Linked DNA regions of Caenorhabditis elegans. The protein of the gene in region 1 purifies or fractionates together with the protein of each later gene. This does not show direct contact. Each region holds a gene or a part of one and is shown on either strand. Other genes may lie near its edges. The genes, in order: ife-5 and ifet-1.

What was found.
Region 2: the proteins of ife-5 (region 1) and ifet-1 purify together in Caenorhabditis elegans (affinity purification with western blotting, with the first as the bait; one study listed by BioGRID). This does not show direct contact.

The regions. Positions count from the first base shown.
Region 1 is NC_003280.10:12,277,910-12,286,559, forward strand, and holds ife-5 (Eukaryotic translation initiation factor 4E-5), read left to right. Parts: upstream 1-2,750; 5' UTR 2,751-2,871; intron 2,872-5,450; 5' UTR 5,451-5,453; coding exon 5,454-5,908; intron 5,909-5,961; coding exon 5,962-6,112; 3' UTR 6,113-6,230; downstream 6,231-8,650. Other genes in the region: tric-1B.2 (Trimeric intracellular cation channel type 1B.2), read right to left, coding at 530-1,084, 1,357-1,470; Y57A10A.29 (Succinate dehydrogenase assembly factor 2, mitochondrial), read left to right, coding at 1,799-1,896, 1,992-2,253. UniProt on the Caenorhabditis elegans protein: Recognizes and binds the 7-methylguanosine-containing mRNA cap during an early step in the initiation of protein synthesis and facilitates ribosome binding by inducing the unwinding of the mRNAs secondary structures.
Region 2 is NC_003281.10:4,469,374-4,478,005, reverse strand, and holds ifet-1 (Translational repressor ifet-1), read left to right. Parts: upstream 1-2,855; 5' UTR 2,856-2,862; coding exon 2,863-3,035; intron 3,036-3,083; coding exon 3,084-3,274; intron 3,275-3,321; coding exon 3,322-3,425; intron 3,426-3,475; coding exon 3,476-3,561; intron 3,562-3,609; coding exon 3,610-3,719; intron 3,720-3,765; coding exon 3,766-4,605; intron 4,606-4,653; coding exon 4,654-5,201; intron 5,202-5,246; coding exon 5,247-5,327; intron 5,328-5,372; coding exon 5,373-5,442; intron 5,443-5,488; coding exon 5,489-5,571; 3' UTR 5,572-6,603; downstream 6,604-8,632. Other genes in the region: ins-17 (Insulin-like peptide 17), read left to right, coding at 485-632, 731-909; rps-3A (Small ribosomal subunit protein eS1), read right to left, coding at 1,192-1,446, 1,496-1,891, 1,937-2,059; mstr-2 (Ubiquitin-like domain-containing protein), read right to left, coding at 7,278-7,472, 7,520-7,654, 7,978-8,098, 8,179-8,451, 8,508-8,632. UniProt on the Caenorhabditis elegans protein: Involved in translational repression of multiple mRNAs in the distal gonad. Recruited to the 3' untranslated region (UTR) of zif-1 by oma-1 and is required for translational repression of zif-1.

The DNA.
Region 1 (8,650 bases):
GCCTGTTCTAACCGAAAAATGCAGTTTTCCGGCCAATTTATTCAAATTTTTAGCCAATTTTCAACCATTTTTACCATAAAAATTTAGTTTTCCTGCCAATTTGGACAGTTTTTCAAAGATTTTCGGGCAATTTCAGGCCTTTTTCATCTAAAACTGCAGTTTTCCGGCCAATTTTTTGGAATTTTCAGTCATTTTTAACCTAAAAATGCACTTTTCTGACCAATTTTCTTGGATTTTCAGACTATTTTCAGCCTTTTTCCATTGAAAACTAAGGTTTCTGACAAATTTTATCGGATTTTCAGGGATATTTCGGCTATTTTTCACCGAAAAATGCACTTTTCTGACCAATTTTCTAGGATTTTCATGCAATTTCAGCCCTTTTTGATCTAAAACTGAAGATTTTCGGTCAATTTTCGGTTGATTTCCGCTGAAAATGCAGTTTTCCGGGGCTAATTTACTCGTATTTTCAGTAGTTTTTCACCGAAAAATGCAGTTTTCAAGCAATTTCAGCCAAAAAATCCACACTCACCAAGTACACCAAATCGTGTGGCGCCGTAACATACATACTATGCCGTTCCAAAGTGAACACAATAGACGCTATAACACACGCTTTTGTGGTAAACGATGGCCGAAGAATTTCATGATTCGTCGGGTGCCATGTGCCACGTGCCAGTTGCTCAACGATCTTTACAACGCCTGAGCCGGCTCCTTTCGCGACTCCAACAAGAATTTGCACCAAATAAGACTCTGGGTAGATCCTGACGGCGTGCTTCACCCCCGCAGCAATCTTATGCGTCCGTTGAACCTCTTTCAGCACTGAGAGCCCGAGCTTCACGGGAAACCACGTGGCGAGCCGGAAAACCACGTCGAACGGTGAATAGAACACCAGGTACCAGACGATGGAGCCGAGGAGTATGTCGGCGTGCTGTTTGAGCGGTGAGATGATGGGCTCGCCGAGCAGAAAACAGGAGAGGAAGCTGCCGGCGAACGACATGAGCATACAGGAGAGCCAGCATGAGAATGGGTGCTTACGGGAGAATGAGATGGCGTCTGGTCCCAAGTCGTGGCGGACGGAGAGGCAGGTCTGCAAGATTTGTCATGTTTTTCGGTAAAAATCTACTGAAAAATAGCGTTTTTCGATTTTTTTACTAAGAAAATTGGAAGTTTTCTGGCTTTTCTCTTGAAAATAGACAAATTTCTCTCCAGAAAATCTGATTTTTCTGGTGTTTTTATAAACACGAATTCACGCATTTCCTCGTTTTTTCGGGCAGTTTTTTGCAAAAAATTTGAATTTCCCAGCTTTTATGCAATTTTCCCGTCAAAATCACACATTTTTTATCAACATATAAACCTTACCAATACATAATGCGCCGCATCAAAGTACGGATAGAGCTTCAGCTTTTGTACGTAGCCTCCGGCATCTATTAGTGTGTCGTGATCGATGCTCCACTCGTCGGGAACCCATCCCATAGCTGAAAAAATTGGATATTTATTCGAAAAAAGTAATGAAAAACAGCAAAATTGGGCGAAAATCAATATTTTTGAAGGGAAATTGAAAATTAAAATCGAAAAAAATTGGGTTTTTTAATTACGCTAAACAACACGCGTATGCGGGATTTCGGAGCGTCGTTGCAACATTTTTATACTTTTTAATGCATTTTGCATTTAATTTTCCATTTTATTTGAGAATTCAGCGATAAATTTTATAAATTTGATGTTTGAGAACCCGGAAAATGATATTTAATCGATATTTTGCAATAATAATAACGAAAAGCTTGCAGAATCCGCCGAAATTCCCATGACAAGCCGGATTTTGCAACGATTCTTCACTGTTTCGACAAGTTTGAGGAGTCTGACACGCGCAGAAGTTCCCGGAGAGAAGATTGATGCAAAGAGGTGAATATTCTGTGAAAAAACATTGAAAACTGAGGGAAATTTTAATTTTTCCTCAAGTTTTACCGGAAAAATTGAACAAAAATTTAATTTTCCAGAGCCCGGCTTCTCTACCAAAGCAAAAAACGTGGAATTCTGGAAAACGACATTCTCCTGGGCGATTTTGCCGAGCAAAACCTCAAAAAAATGAGCGAGCCCGAGCTGAAGGCCTACGATAAGCTCATCAACGGAGAACACATGGAATGGGACCTCTTCTACTATCTTTCCAACAAGAAAAGCCCGCCGGAAGACGTGGAAAGCTGTCAGGTTTACCAAAAAGTCAAGAAGTTCGTCGACGACAAGCGAGTGCCGAAATCATGATAATTTGATAATTTTTTGCCGGAATTTCCTCAATTTTCCCCTGAAAATCTCGAATTTCCTTTTCTCTCTGTACATTTTTTAGGTTTACCGTTGATTTTTTTACTATGAAAAGGTGATTTTTGTCCTCAAATTTCTTGAAAAATGCGTGAAAATTCGCTTGAAAAATATTTGAAATTGTTTAATTCTCATTTTTGACAGTTTTCTGCTATTTTCCATGAATTTTCGGCCAAAAAATCTCGAAATTCGTTGGATTTTGCAGATTCTCACCAAAAAAAAACGCATTTTTCTGTCCATTTTCAAAGAATTAATTCTTATTACGCTAAACAACACGCGTCTGTGGAATTTCGGAGCGTCGTTGTTCAACATTTTTACACTTTTTAATGCTTATTTTCCATTTTATTTGAGAATTCAGCAATAAACTTTATAAATGTTATGTTTTAGAACTCGGAAAATGATATTTAATCAATATTTTGTAATAATAATAACAAAAAGCTTGCAGAATCCGCCGAAATTTCCATGACAAGTCGAATTTTTCAACGATTCTTCAGTGTTTCGACAAATTTGAGGAGCCTGGAACGCTGCTTAGCAGTTCCCCGGAGAGAAGATTGATGCAAAAATGTGAATATTCGGTTAAAAAACATTGAAAACTAGAGGAAATCGTCAATTTTCCTCAATTTTTACCGAAAAAAATCAGAAAAAAACGTAAATTTCGAACAAAAAACTAGTTTTTCAGAGCCCGCGGCTTCTCTACCAACGCAAGAAACGTGGAATTCTGGAAAATTTATCTTTTAAAAATTTATTCCATTTTCCCCGTGAACTTGTAATGACACGTCATTTAGGGCACAATTACAGTTGGCGTTTTCCCCAGAATTCTTCTTTCGGCTTCTCAGAGATCAGTCTGAAAATCTCTGGTTTTTCTCGCCGTTTTGCATCACTTTTTCGTTCCACGTGTCCATTTTTATTAGCTTTAAAACATGCCTATGAGGTCACAATGACCGAATATCATAGTAAAAAAATTCGAAACAATTTTCTAGATTTTATATGATTTTTTGAAAATTGAAGAAATCTCAGTTTTCCCCTAATTTCTATTTGAACTACCGCCAATTGGATTTGTTCGGTGGAGCGCGCTTGCACTACTTTAATTAAAAAATTTCCATTTATTCTGGTTATTTGACTGATTTTCTTCATTTTATATGTTCTTTTCATCAGAAAATCGAAAAAATAAATAAGAAAAATGCAAAATGTTTGTTAAAAAGTAACTAAAAATGCCTGAAACTGTTATATTTTATAGTTTCACGCAGTTTCAGTTACTTTTTAACAAACATATCGCATTTGACTTGTTTATTTCTTTCATTTTCCGATGAAAAAACATATAAAATGAAGAAAATCAGTCAAATAAGAAAAAAGAATAAATAAAATTAATTAATTAAAATAATGCAAGCGCGCTCCAACGAACGAGTTCAATTGGCGGAAATTCAAATAGGAATTAGGGGGGAAAACTGAGAATTTTTCAATTTTCAAAAAATCATATAAAATCTAGAAAATTTTTTTGAATTTTTTACTATGATATTCGGTCATTGTGGTTCCATGGGCATATTTTAAAGCAATTTCCCCACTGAGCGTAGTCCACCTTTAAAGGTGGGGACCAAAATTTGAGACTTTGATTTTTTAGACCCAAAATGGTCCAAAACTACCGAATTTCATAATGAGACTTCACAAAAAATTTCCAAAATTTTTTTATGAGCGGTCAAAATTTCGAAAAAAAAAAGAGCCAAATTTTGCTAAAATCTGAAATTTCGCACACATTTCTTTTTGTCACAGCTGCTGGATTTTAGTTTTTCTAAAATTATCACCCGTTAATCCTTATTTTGGTAATTTATCTCGCGGAAATTCGTTGATTGAGACAACTTTTAGGCCGATAGGCATCCAAAAATGATCAAAATTGGATGCCTATCGGCCTAAAAGTTGTCTCAATCAACGAATTTCCGCAGGATAAATTATCGAAATAAGGGTTAAAAGGTGATAATTTTAGAAAAACTAAAATCCAGCAGCTGTGACAAAAAGAAATGTGTGCGAAATTTCAGATTTTAGCAAAATTTGGCACTTTTTGTTGTGAGATGGTCCCATCTCCCAACTATCTGGTACTCTGAGACACTCGCGAATACTCCCATCGTGTTCGCCGTACCAGAAAACCTATAAACCGCTCCTTCCAGTCGCTCTATCTCCCCCTTTCTCTAATCTAACGCGCGCCCTCATTTGAATCTCCTGCCAAGCTCAATGGTCTCGCAGCGAGTGTGCGCCGCGGGTCTCACCGCGCGCCCTCCTTGCTCATCCTAATTCGCTGGCCTAAATTAGTCGCTCCTCAACTCCCTTCACTCGTCTCGTCACCGCACCAGCGGAACCTTCCTTTCTTTTATAAATTAATTCTTTTATATTTAATAAATTCCCTTAATAGTTTATCAACCGCTTTAGCCGTTTGTATAGCAATGTTCCTACACGGAAGATGCTAACATCCGCTAATGACACATGATAACTATTCCCTAATCGACAGTTCCCTTTTCTATTATTCTTTAGCTAATAAATGGGGTTTCATGGTAATATCTTGTGTTACTCGTTCACACCGCTTATCCTCAAGGCAGACACTAAGCCAAAGGATTCGAAGGCTAGTTTATGTTTTTTAATTCGGGAAAAATGAAACAAAAAATCGTTTATTGCGGAACTTTTCGAGACGTCAACTTACACCGGCTTTCTTTACAGGTTGAGACCAAACGTTCCAAAACCCAACCGCTCGCCACTGTTCCGGCGGTACAGGGTACGGAAATCACCATAGATTGAGCTAAACGCCGGTCTATTCCTACATCTCACCACACAAGGACCGTACCCCATTGTTGATCTCTCGTTCACACCGCTTATCCTCCTCTTCGCTCGGCACTCTGCAAACGCCAGTTCTCTCTTAGACTCTTCTTCCGGCTTGACCCCAGTTGCGGCTCCCCAACCCGCTACACTGGGCGGTCAACACTTTTTTCGAAATTTTAACTGGCCATAAAAAAATTTTGGAAATTTTTTGAGAAGTCTCATTATGAAATTTGGTAGTTTTGGACCATTATGAGTCTACTAAGGCACTAAAAAAGTTCGACTACACCACCTTTAATTAATTCTCTCTGTTTACTGATTTCAATAATCGAATTTTTTTCCAGGATATGACTGAATTGACGACACCCATCTATCCTCTGCAGCGGAACTGGTCGTGGTGGTTCTTGAACGATGATCGCAACGCGTCTTGGCAGGATCGTCTGAAAAAGGTGTACACCTTCAACACCGTACCGGAATTCTGGGCTTTCTACGAAGCTATCCTTCCACCAAGTGGCCTCAACGATCTGTGCGATTACAACGTTTTCCGTGACGATATTCAGCCGAAATGGGAGGCTCCGGAAAACTGGGATGGTGGACGTTGGCTCATTATCATTAACAAGGGAAAGACTCCCGAAGTGTTGGACGCCGTTTGGCTGGAAATTCTCTTGGCTTTGATCGGCGAGCAATTCGGAAAGGATATGGAGTCGATTTGTGGGCTGGTGTGTAACGTCAGAGGACAGGGATCGAAGATCAGCGTCTGGACTAAAAACTGTAATGATGATGATACTAATATGAGGATTGGGTATGCATTTTTTAATTTTTAATTTTTCAATTTTTTAATTTCGTCATTTCCAGAGTTGTGCTGAAGGAGAAGCTGATGGCCGCGGCATCCAAGGCACACTCGAAGCCACTGTTCGACGTGATTCACTACCAAACACATAGGAATTGCGTGAAGAAGACCACCTCGGCTCTGAAATACAAATTTTCATTGAAATCCATCGTCTAAATTTAATGTAATTTCCTCAATTTTCCCCTGAGAACCCCGATTTCCAGATTTCTCTGTACATTTTTTAGGTTTTCCGTTGATTTTTATTATTAAAAACTTGATTTTTGTCCTCAAATTCTTGGAAATTCCTCTTAATTGCGTTAAAATGCGTTAAAATTCGCTCGAAAATGTTTGAAATTTTGAATTTTCGATTTTGCGCGCCATGGGTCTCGCAGCGACTTTTCGAAAATCTTCAGATTTTTATTTTTTGCGCGCGCGCGCGATTTTTCCGATTTCGCAAAATTTTACATCATTTTTCACAAATAATCCTCAATTTTTATTCATTTTTGAGAATTTTTTGCCATTTTCCTTGAAATTACCCCCAAAAATCCTGAGAATTCGCCGAATTTTGCATCATTTTAGGCGTTTTTTATAGATTTTCGCCTAAAAAATTGCATTTTTCTGCCCATTTTTACAGAATTGTTGATTTATAGCTCTGTTTTTCATTCATTTTATGCTGAATTTCGATTTCCAGTGCATTTTTCTTGCGGAAACTTGGATTTTTGTCATTAATATCGATGTTTCTCGGCTGCTATCACCATTTTCAGCTATTATTCAGTTTTCCACGGGAAAATCGAATGAAATTCGCATGTTTTGTGACTCAAAACTCCATTTCTCGTCAATTCTTCAAAGAAATTAGGCCAAAATCGAATTTAAACGAAGAAAACCCGTGAAAAAACTATGGAATTTGAGTTTACAATCGATATTTTTGCGATTGTTTCGAAGCAGTTTTGCTGATTTTCAAGCTTTTTTTGATTATTTGAACGAAAAATTGCCATTTCCACGGGAAATTTGACTAGAAAATGGCTGAAAATCACTAAAAATGCCATTAAATTGAATAAATTATCAGAATTTCCTGCGATTTCATCATCGAAATGGTCGCTGATAAGGGAAAAATTACTGATAACTCATTTTCGAACATTTCCTCAGTTTAAAGTTTAAAATTCAGCCCTTTCAGTCGTTTATTACATTGATTTATGTGCATTTTCAGTAGATTTTGCTCAAAAATTACCTTCGTGCTCCCAAAAGTATGAAATAGACGATACAAATATGCAATACGAAGTGATATATCCAAATAAAAATTAATTCCAGTTGGCAAAATTTGAAATTTCATGAAAAAATGAAAAATTTCAGCTAAAATTTATCCATTTTTCGAAATTTTGAGGAGAATTCCAGTGGTATCATTAAGAAATGTACTATTTTTGCATCTTCAATGCCTTTTTTACACTATCATTAATTTTGCAAACTTCCCCATTACCGACATAGTTGGTAGGTTCTGTAACTTGTTACATTACTACAGTGCTCCACATAATGATACGGCCACCCCCAAATTTTGGTATAACTCAAAACTGGGTTGAGATAGCAAAACATAGTTTCTTGTGAAAATGTTCGCTGTACTGGCTAACTTTCAGATAAGTATTGGAAATATACCTGAACCGTTCGTAAAAAAAGATAGACCATTTTTTCATGAAAAACCATATAAAAAAATCCACAAAATGATACGGCCACCCTTGGTTTTTGTTTTCCTTTTTCGTTTTTTTTGCAATTTTTTTTGCTAAACGCTATGTTTTTCATGTTCGTTTGTGTTTTTACAGCTATGGGTCGTGGAATAACTTTAACTTACTACGAAAAAGGACAAATTGTGCAAAATTATCTCAAGGCTTCTCGGATCGTCAGATTTTTCGTGATTTGAAACGTTTGAGAGATATGATCACTCGATATGCTTCAAATCCTGCCGCTTATTGCACCAAAAAGTCTTCTGGTCGCCCATCACTCCTTTCTGGTAGAGACAAGCGAAAAATCGTTCGTCGAGCATTCAATTGAACAGTGACTTGCTCGAAAAGTAGGAGCGAGATGAACCTGCTAGTGTCTGTTGAGACCGTACGTCGTGTCCTTCGAAGTCCCAGTTTATCAAAAGACGAAAATTAATAAAGGCTAATTTCATTACCGAAAAACACTGCCAAAATCGTATTCAGTTTGCTAAAATCAGCCAGAGAACTAACTGGAGACAAGTGAGGATTACGGTATGATCATTCAATCTCATGTTTTGGTCTCAGATCATCTTCAGTGGCGAGAAAAAGTTTAACTGTGATGGTCCTGATGGCTACCGTGATTACTGGCACGATTTGAGAAAAGAAAAGATGATCTGAAACCAAAAACTGGGCTTGAATGATTATACCATAACCCTCACTTGTCTCCGTTAGTTCTCTGGCTGATTTTAGCAAACTGAATACGATTTTGGCAGAGTTTTTCGGTAATGAAATTAGCCTTTATTAATTTTCGTCTTTTGATAAACTGGGACTTCGAAGGACACGACGTACGGTCTCAACAGACACTAGCAGGTTCATCTCGCTCCTACTTTTCGAGCAAGTCACTGTTCAATTGAATGCTCGACGAACGATTTTTCGCTTGTCTCTACCAGAAAGGAGTGATGGGCGACCAGAAGACTTTTTGGTGCAATAAGCGGCAGGATTTGAAGCATATCGAGTGATCATATCT
Region 2 (8,632 bases), on another chromosome or scaffold:
GTTGGTCATCCGGCATCTAATCAACTCTCTATTCTGTGTTTAAAAACACTGAAGACGGACGAAAAAGTTGTATTTTTTTGCTTTGAAAATTCTCTCTCTCTCCTTTCTTTTTTTTCTTTTTTCATCCAAAAATTCGTTCACGTTCACAAGTTTTCGATTAAGACATTTTAAAAATGGATCCGCCAACCCGGAAATTAACGCTTCTCTTTGCATTGTGGGAGAAGAATTTCATGTGAGAAACAACAACAGCTTTAAGTGTTCGAAAAGCTCAAGTCTAAAAAATTCAATTTCCCGCTGTCATCTGTGTTCAAACTCCGCCCATTTTGCAAAATTCTTTAAATACGTACAATACTTTTCTGGATCTAGTTATGCTACAATTCTCAATTACTTATAATTCTAAAAACTAAAATTTAATAAAAATCTTTAATTTCAGAATCGGTTACTCGCTTCTCGCGGTTGGCATAAGCGAGTATCTGTGATCCAAATGTTCTCGACCAGAGGGGTACTCCTTTTACTGTCTTTGATGGCTGCTGTAGCCGCATTCGGGCTGTTTTCTAGACCGGCTCCAATCACTCGGGACACTATCCGACCACCACGTGCCAAACACGGTTCGCTGAAATTATGCCCACCAGGTAATTCATTTTAGGAATTATAGAAAGAAGTTAGCTTTTTGATTCAAAAAATAACTCTAATTTCTAGGAATTCAATGTCTAAAGTCGTTATTTTACAGGTGGTGCCTCATTCCTTGACGCTTTCAACTTGATTTGCCCAATGCGCCGTCGACGCAGGAGTGTTTCAGAAAACTACAACGACGGCGGTGGCAGCCTTTTGGGACGGACAATGAATATGTGCTGTGAGACGGGATGTGAATTCACTGACATTTTCGCAATCTGCAATCCTTTTGGATAAAAACGATCTACTTTACCCTCGCTTTACTGGAACTCCAAATAAAACAATTTTCTAATTCTTTTCTCTGAATCTTCCATCATCTTGTTCTACCGTGCGCCAGCTTGACACTCTCAATCCCATCCCGTATGTCCACACCAATCATGCTTGTTGGGTTTAGATCTCATAAATATTTCGTTAACAAAATTGAGTTGTATTTTTCAGATATATATGATGTATGTTACTTTTGAAGTTTTTTAATTTTAACATTTATCGCAATGCGACATAACAATGAAATTATAAGACTTAAACTTCTTGTTGGACTGGTGGCTCGTAGTCGTCTGGGCGATCAACCTTCTCACCGTCGGCTCCAACGGTGATGGAGTCTCCGTGCAAGTCGTGAAGACGTCCAAGATCAACCTTTGGTCTCTTGATGATCTTGACCTTACGGATGTAGACTTCTTGGAGTGGGTAGAGCTTGGAGCAGGTCTTCTCAATATCTTTTCCGATGGAATCTGGGATGAGCTTGCTGACAACCTCCTTAAGGTCGCATCCGGTGACCTGCAATAAAAAATTTGTTTTCTTTCATTAGTTATTTTTTGCTACATACCTCCTTTTCGATGCATCCGATCATCTCGGAACGGATCTTGCGGATCTTGGATGTCTTGGTGTAGGAAGTCTTCTTGACTTGGTTGACGGACTTCTTGGTGAAGGCGATAACGAAGACACGGAGAGTGTATCCATCAGTGGTCTTGACGGCGGTGTTGGCCTCGATGAGAGTATGCCACTTCTTGACGATGGAGCACAACTTATCGTGGGTCATCGACATAGCGTGGAAGTTGGTGAGAACGTTCTTTCCCTGGACATCTTCAGCGATGAGCTTGAACTTTCTGAAGTCGGCCTCAGAGTTGTTCAAGTCTCCGAGTGAAACCTCGAAGACACGTCCCTTAAGTCCTTCGGAAGCGATCTTAGTTCCTTGGGTTCTGTTGATAAGGGTCTTTCCAACCTGAAAATAGCATTTATAGAATTATAAAACAAAATAAAACGTTACCTGGCGGGTGTTGAACATGTTTGGGGCCTTGATGTCGTACCATTCCTTGCGGGAGAATGGATCCACGGCCTTCTTCTTACCTCCCTTCTTTCCCATCTTGTTATTGTTCTTTCCGACCGCCATGATTGAAGCGGATTGATGCCAAGCTGTGTCTGAAAATAGGAATACATAATTTAACAGTACAAATTGAGAGTATAAGCTAAAAATTCGACGGAATTTTCCACTCGACACATGAGTTTGCAATAAGATATTAATAAACACTTGAATAAACGGATAACTGTTTGAAAAATTGATTTTTTTTCAAAAATTGCTGAAAAAATAGGAGGGAAACGGAAAAAGAAGGCACGGAAAAGTCCTAAAATTTGCAATTCTCGAGTTGCGTCGCAAGTGTATGCCATACACTCCGCATGACGCTCCACAATGCGTATTACCGTAGTCACAGCGCGTGAGAGACATCTTCTCTCAAACAGACCCGTTTTCATTCGTTCTTACGCTTATTTCAGACGTCTTTCCAGATTATGCGAAAATAAAATTAAAGCATGCAATTCGTCTCATTTTCAGCTGCCATTTCAGCTATAATAGTTGTCATACCTCTCGTTAATCGGAAATTAATAGGCCAAAACCAAATCCATTCAAATTTTGGCGCTAAATTTTTGAAGATGTGCGCAGCGCCAGAACTTTTATGTATTTTCCAGCTCTAATGGGTTTTCAGTTGCTTCTTATCAATTTTGGTCGCCAAAATAAGTTTCTGCGCGGTAAATCGCTATGCTTCGTTTTTTTAGTTAGACATAACAAAAAATCGATATAAACTCGATTGCGATACGTTGTTCTTGCGCAGCTGGCATTCTCTTCTTTTCTGACTGCGATGGATTTTAATGCTAATTGTTGAATAACTAATCATAGACATTCGATTTTTCAGTGTAAATATGACTAGTCATCTAGACGACGAAGGCCTACACCCAATGGTCTCAACCCTTCTCGGAGGGGGCACACTTCCGACGGTACCGTTCAAAGCGTACACCAGAGAACGAATGATGGAACTGAGAACTACCAAAGCAAGCATGACGAGGCCTGAAAACCTCTCAGAAGATTTCAATGGGTTAGTGGTACAGTACGCAAAATATAATTGCATAAAATACAATTTCAGCGAAGATGGTAAGTTTTCTCCTTTGAAATGGCTTGAACACCGTTGGGAAATCGAAGGAATTAAAAATCGTCCGATGTCGAAAAAAATTGATTCGTTATGCGCTGGCGCTGATGAAAATACGGGTTTGTCTCCACAACGGAGAGCATTTAGCAGTGGCTGCAAAGCACCAACAGACGACAAAGGACGTGACGGTAATCAGCTTGGAAATACGAGTTTGATCATAAACTTTATTTTTCAGGAGAGTACGAAAGATTGGGAGGGCATGGAAAGAACTGGAGAAACGGAAGTACCGGTGGTGCCGATAAATTTGCTTCGAGAGGAAATGACTTCAAACCATCCTTCGTACGCAGTTTCAAAATATAATGTTTCATGTTTTACCAAACATTTTTCAGCAGAAAGGTAACCAGCTTGAACGTGGTACTCGTGGAGCCGAATGGAAAAAGGATACGACACGAGGGGCAAAATTCGCACCACGGAGGTTAGTATTGAGTAGTAGCTAAAAATAATGCTGATATTTCTAATTCAGAGAGGAACGCCTTACGAGCTTGAGCGGAAGTGAGAAGCTGCCAGAATGGGCTGACGGTCCCACTACAATGGACGATATGATTGAGTTGCGCGGATTTGATGAACCAAAAAGTATTCCTAATGTCTCCTATTTATTTTATAATGTTATTCTTTTCAGAAGTGAAGAACAAAAAGAATCCAAAGGAAAAGAAGGAGAAAGAAGCTGTGAAAGCTCCGGAGCCAGTGGAGTGCGTTGGATCCCGTCCGTCATCAACTGGTCTCAAGACTTCTGAACCTATTGACGATCCAGCAATTGCTTATTCTTCTTCGGGAGGAGGAGCTCTTCCGGCTACGGATCAGGAACTCGCGGCTCTTCTGGGATGTCTTGACATTCAAAAAACATCAAGAAAGATCGATGGCGACGATATGGCTTGGGCGCACAAGAGTGAGGAAACTGCTGGAGGAACTAGTCGTCTCAGTCGGTTCTTCGCAAAGAAGAACAAGTCCCCTGAATTGGACGCTATGCTTTCGTCAGTTGGAGGCGGAAACGATGAAAACGTGGCTAATCCAATGCTTGCAAGACTTTTCGGTCATAGTGGTGGTGATAACAACGCTTCATCTTCTGGAGCTGGTGATATAAAAGGAGGAATGCGGTTGGAAGATTTGGAGAAAGGCATGGAGTCAAAGGAACCTTCAAAAGTCAGTCCATTGCAAGATCCATCACAACAAGCACAACTTCTGCAACATCTGCAAAAATTCGCCAAACAGCAAGCAGAGTCTGGTCAGCACATACATCATCATAGACAACCAACACCACCAAATGGAGGTCCACAGCATCAACAACATTTGCATCACCCTATGGTTCATCCTGGAATGCAAATTATCGCAGATCCAAGCCTTCTTGCAAGCTTCGCACAGAATCCAGTGATTTTGAATGCCTATGTCGAGAATCAACTTCAAGAAGCAGTCAATGCTGCAATTCGTGCAAACAATGGGCAGCAGCTTCCACCACAGCTTCGTATGTTAAGCATTTTTGAATACATTTCATGATTGAATTATTTTTCAGATGAGCAACTTCGTATGGCATCCATGCGTAACAAGGCTTTCCTACAGTCTCAGACTCTCACTTTCGTTAGTCTTCAACAACAGCATCAGAACATCCAGCAGCATCAGCAACAACAACAGCATCATCAACACAAAGGTCGCACTCCTGCTATGATACCTGCGTCTGTGCAGCGGCAATTGCAGAAGAGCTCCTCAAATGCTGATCAGAAGAAAGAAAAGACGAGTCAGAGCCCGCCAGAGAGCAACCAAGAGACTTCCGACGCTCATAATCAATCTGATGCCATGAACCAACTGAAGAAATTGCACATGCAGCAGAACTATGCCAATATGGTGCAGGCAATGAATTCTGGAGTCGGATGGGCACGCGGAAACGGCGTTGTTAACGGACAACAGCAACATCCACAGCAGCAACTTCCACCAAATGTTCAAATGCTGATGGCTCAACACCAGCAAGCTCAAATGCAGCACCTCAAGATGATGATGTCCCGTGCTCAACAACAGCACATGTTGATGGCAAAGATAGCTCAAATGCAACAACAGCAAGCCCAGGTACTCGTTTTTTAAATCAATACAAAATTATATTTTCAATTTTAGATGGCTAACATGCAAGAGAGACAGGGACCCAGTCATAATCAGCAACAACACCAACCTGTGGTTCCATCCGAGCTGTCACAGGTGCTTAAATCGAAACGTTTGCCTATTAGTATATCCAATTTGCAGGTCGGGCCAATTCAAACTCCGCTTGAGAAGCTGCTGGCATCGGTTGGAGTTCAGGGATCTCAATTCACTGGTTCGTGCTAAAATTTTCTAATTTTTTGCTAATTTAACTTTTTCAGGGTCCGGAGATCGAATTCCATCGTCGGTCCGTCCAATGTCTCTGGAAGATCTCGAGAAACAGTTAACAGCTGTTCCAAAGTAGAAATATGGGTTTAATTCCCTAGTTCATAATAGCAACTTTTTTTTTGTTTTTCCTACCTTCACATATATTCAACCATGTTTATCGCTTACCATCCACCAAGCGGGTACACATAGTCATGTATTCGTATTATTTTTTTCTTCTCTCTTGTTCATATAATCCCATCTCTTTCTGGTCCTTTTCTCCCTCGTGTCCCATCAAAATTTCGCTTTACCGTCGCTATTTTCTTCGGTTTTTTGTTGTTCGGCATTTCACTGAAATCGAAAAAAACAGCGGGGTGTCCCCCCACAACCTTTGTTGGTGATCCCTTGATAGTTTCCGTAATGCCCCATAATAAGTTTGTTTCCTTTTTTTTAATTTTTACTTTTCTAATTATGTTCCAAGTTTTGTTATATTGACGCATCTTCGACGTGTTTATATATTGGTCCCCGCTGCTCGAGTGAACCTCGATAGATTGTAAAGCGAACTTCAGTGAATTCAGAATGATTTGCATTTTTAGTTCATCAGAACTCCATTCTCAATGATTTCACTTCTTTTCCCCCAACCTACCGCCTTTTAGAACACACTGTTCTCTCTTCCTCCCCTTTTCTTGTAAGCTGGTTTTTCACTTGTTCTTCCCCTCACATCTACCCAAATCCCTTCGGAAAGTTTGTATAAACACCTTCGTAGAGAATTTCTTGCATCCCGTCGGATGCGTAGAGGATCTCTCGAAAATGCGAAAAGTTTTATAAGGGTACACTCATTTTCAATTCCATCTCCCACTCAATTTTACATCAGATTGTCCCTAAAACGTTTTTGTACTTGTACAAGTTTGGTGTCCACATTTTGTTGGATCTCGTCCACTCTTGTTCTCATTATTTTTTGTCTCCTTTTGTGCACCTCCCATGTTGTGCCACGTTTTTCATAAGCAGTTCACCATTCCAAACAGTTTTTTGTAGACACATTTTTCGTTTTTATTTTAGAAATGAGAGGTGATGTGTTCTATAAGATGGATTTGGATTTGGATAAAATGAATAATTGAAGAAGATTTTAAATTTTTGGTTTTGCAATACATGGCGAATACAGAAGGAAAGTGAACTAGCAAGACTCGACTAAACCTTTTCCGAATTCTGGGTTTGAATACATATGTCTAGGTTTCTATTTAAATATAATTGATGTTTCTTCGTTTCCTAGTTGTTAAATATTTTTGAATTTAAAACTATTTCAAGAAAAGAAAGAAAAACCTGTGAAAGTTGCAAAAACTAATAAGCCTACCGTATTCACAGGTACGGTAGTTGAAAAGTTTCTGTCGTGCCAGAACCAAGAGTCGCATTTGATGCAAGGAATCTCGGAGTCTAGTTTATAAAAAATTCCAGAAATAAGTTATAAATTTACAAGACGCCGAATTGCTTAACCATTAAGAGACAACACCGAGAGAGCGTTGACTGTTGGAGTGTGGTGCCTGCTATTTGATATCCTTTCGAGGTGTGCTGCTCTCGTGGCCGCGTGGCCTAATGGATAAGGCACCAGACTTCGAATCTGGGGATTGCAGGTTCGAGTCCTGCCGTGGTCGAAAGTTTTTGCTGAAACCATGATTCAAATGTTATTTTCAAGATAAAGTCTTTAGTGGAATTGATTCATGTTTAAAATCGAGTAAACTAATTCATTCAAAATCATATTTCTTTCATTTTGTAAAAACCGAGTTCTTCTAATTCCTAATTCTTCTTTTCCTATGATTCAAACTTGGCTTTTCTCCATCCGCCATCTCCAACTTTCGAGTTATTCTTCTTCAATTTGTTCCGTCCATCCTGCTTGTAGTCAATCACACATGTATGATTCTTTGGATGACGATGACGATCACAGAAGATTCTAAGACACTTGCAATGCATGGTCTGTTGAGCTGCGGAGAGCTTCTTGAAACAAGTCTGAAATTTGATTTTATTTTGATTTCAAATACAATAGAAACACTTACATTACACTTGGTCTTTCTCTCCGCTTCGAATTTTTTCAAGTTCTCAAGCAATTCTTCTTCGCTGCTCGGAGCAAGAACCATCGAACGGCGGCATTGTTTGTGTTCCTCAATTGTTTCAGGTGGATCGAAGAAGAGCTGTAATATAATAAAATAAATCTTCGTAGATTTCATATTTTTCACGCAAAACTCTTGCCACTAATAAACTTTTCAGAAATTTTTAATCGAAGCAGAAAAAAATAAGTGCGCGTCTTTAAAAAGTACAGTAACCCACTCCTCGTTATTTTTGGGAAAATATGCAATTTCTAACTTGATTAGTCCTCCCGAAAATTTAAAAAATACTTTCACACATTTGAGTGTTTGAAAATAGTAAAATAACTTGAGCGGGTTACTGTACATGTTAAAGGCGCACACCTTCTGGATAATGCCGCCAAATGTCTGCTGCTTAACTGGCATATTACCTTGAGTTCTTTTTCGGTAACAACCTCGGCATCACTTTCCGGTTCACTTCCAGAGCTGACATGAGATGAAACTGTAGACGGCGAAGACAACTCTCCGGGAGGAGTTGCAACCGGCGAGAATCTGGAATTACTTTGTATAAAACTGCTTTTTGAATATTCAAGCGTTTCACGGTATTTCAGAGAAACATTCCAAAAACTCACGTTTGCGCAGATCCGATTTCAGAATCAACCGGTGTTCCAGACAAGATTGGTGCGTGTTTCTTACGGCGAAGCAAAGTTTTCATTCGATTTCTAGTGAACTCATTTTCCATTTGCTTCTCCGGTGTCCAAAGACTTGCATTTGCATCTATGCCACTCATCTTCTTTGGTTTACGATGTACCGTATGCATTCCTTTGATCTCCTTTCTCAGTTGGTCTTGGTTAGTTGGGAAAATTGGTGGCATCATGAGTAAAATGTCAGTTGTAGTAGGATTGCTGAAATTCAGACATTATTATCAGCATTTTTTGTGTCCTTTTTTGGGTTCACTTACGTAACAATTCCTGTGCTCATTTTAACATTCATCGTGATTTTTGCATCAGAATTAATTCCACAATCAGTCATTGTTTTGTTATTATCCTTGAGCTCCATTCCTTTGAAAAGCAAAACCTGTCGATT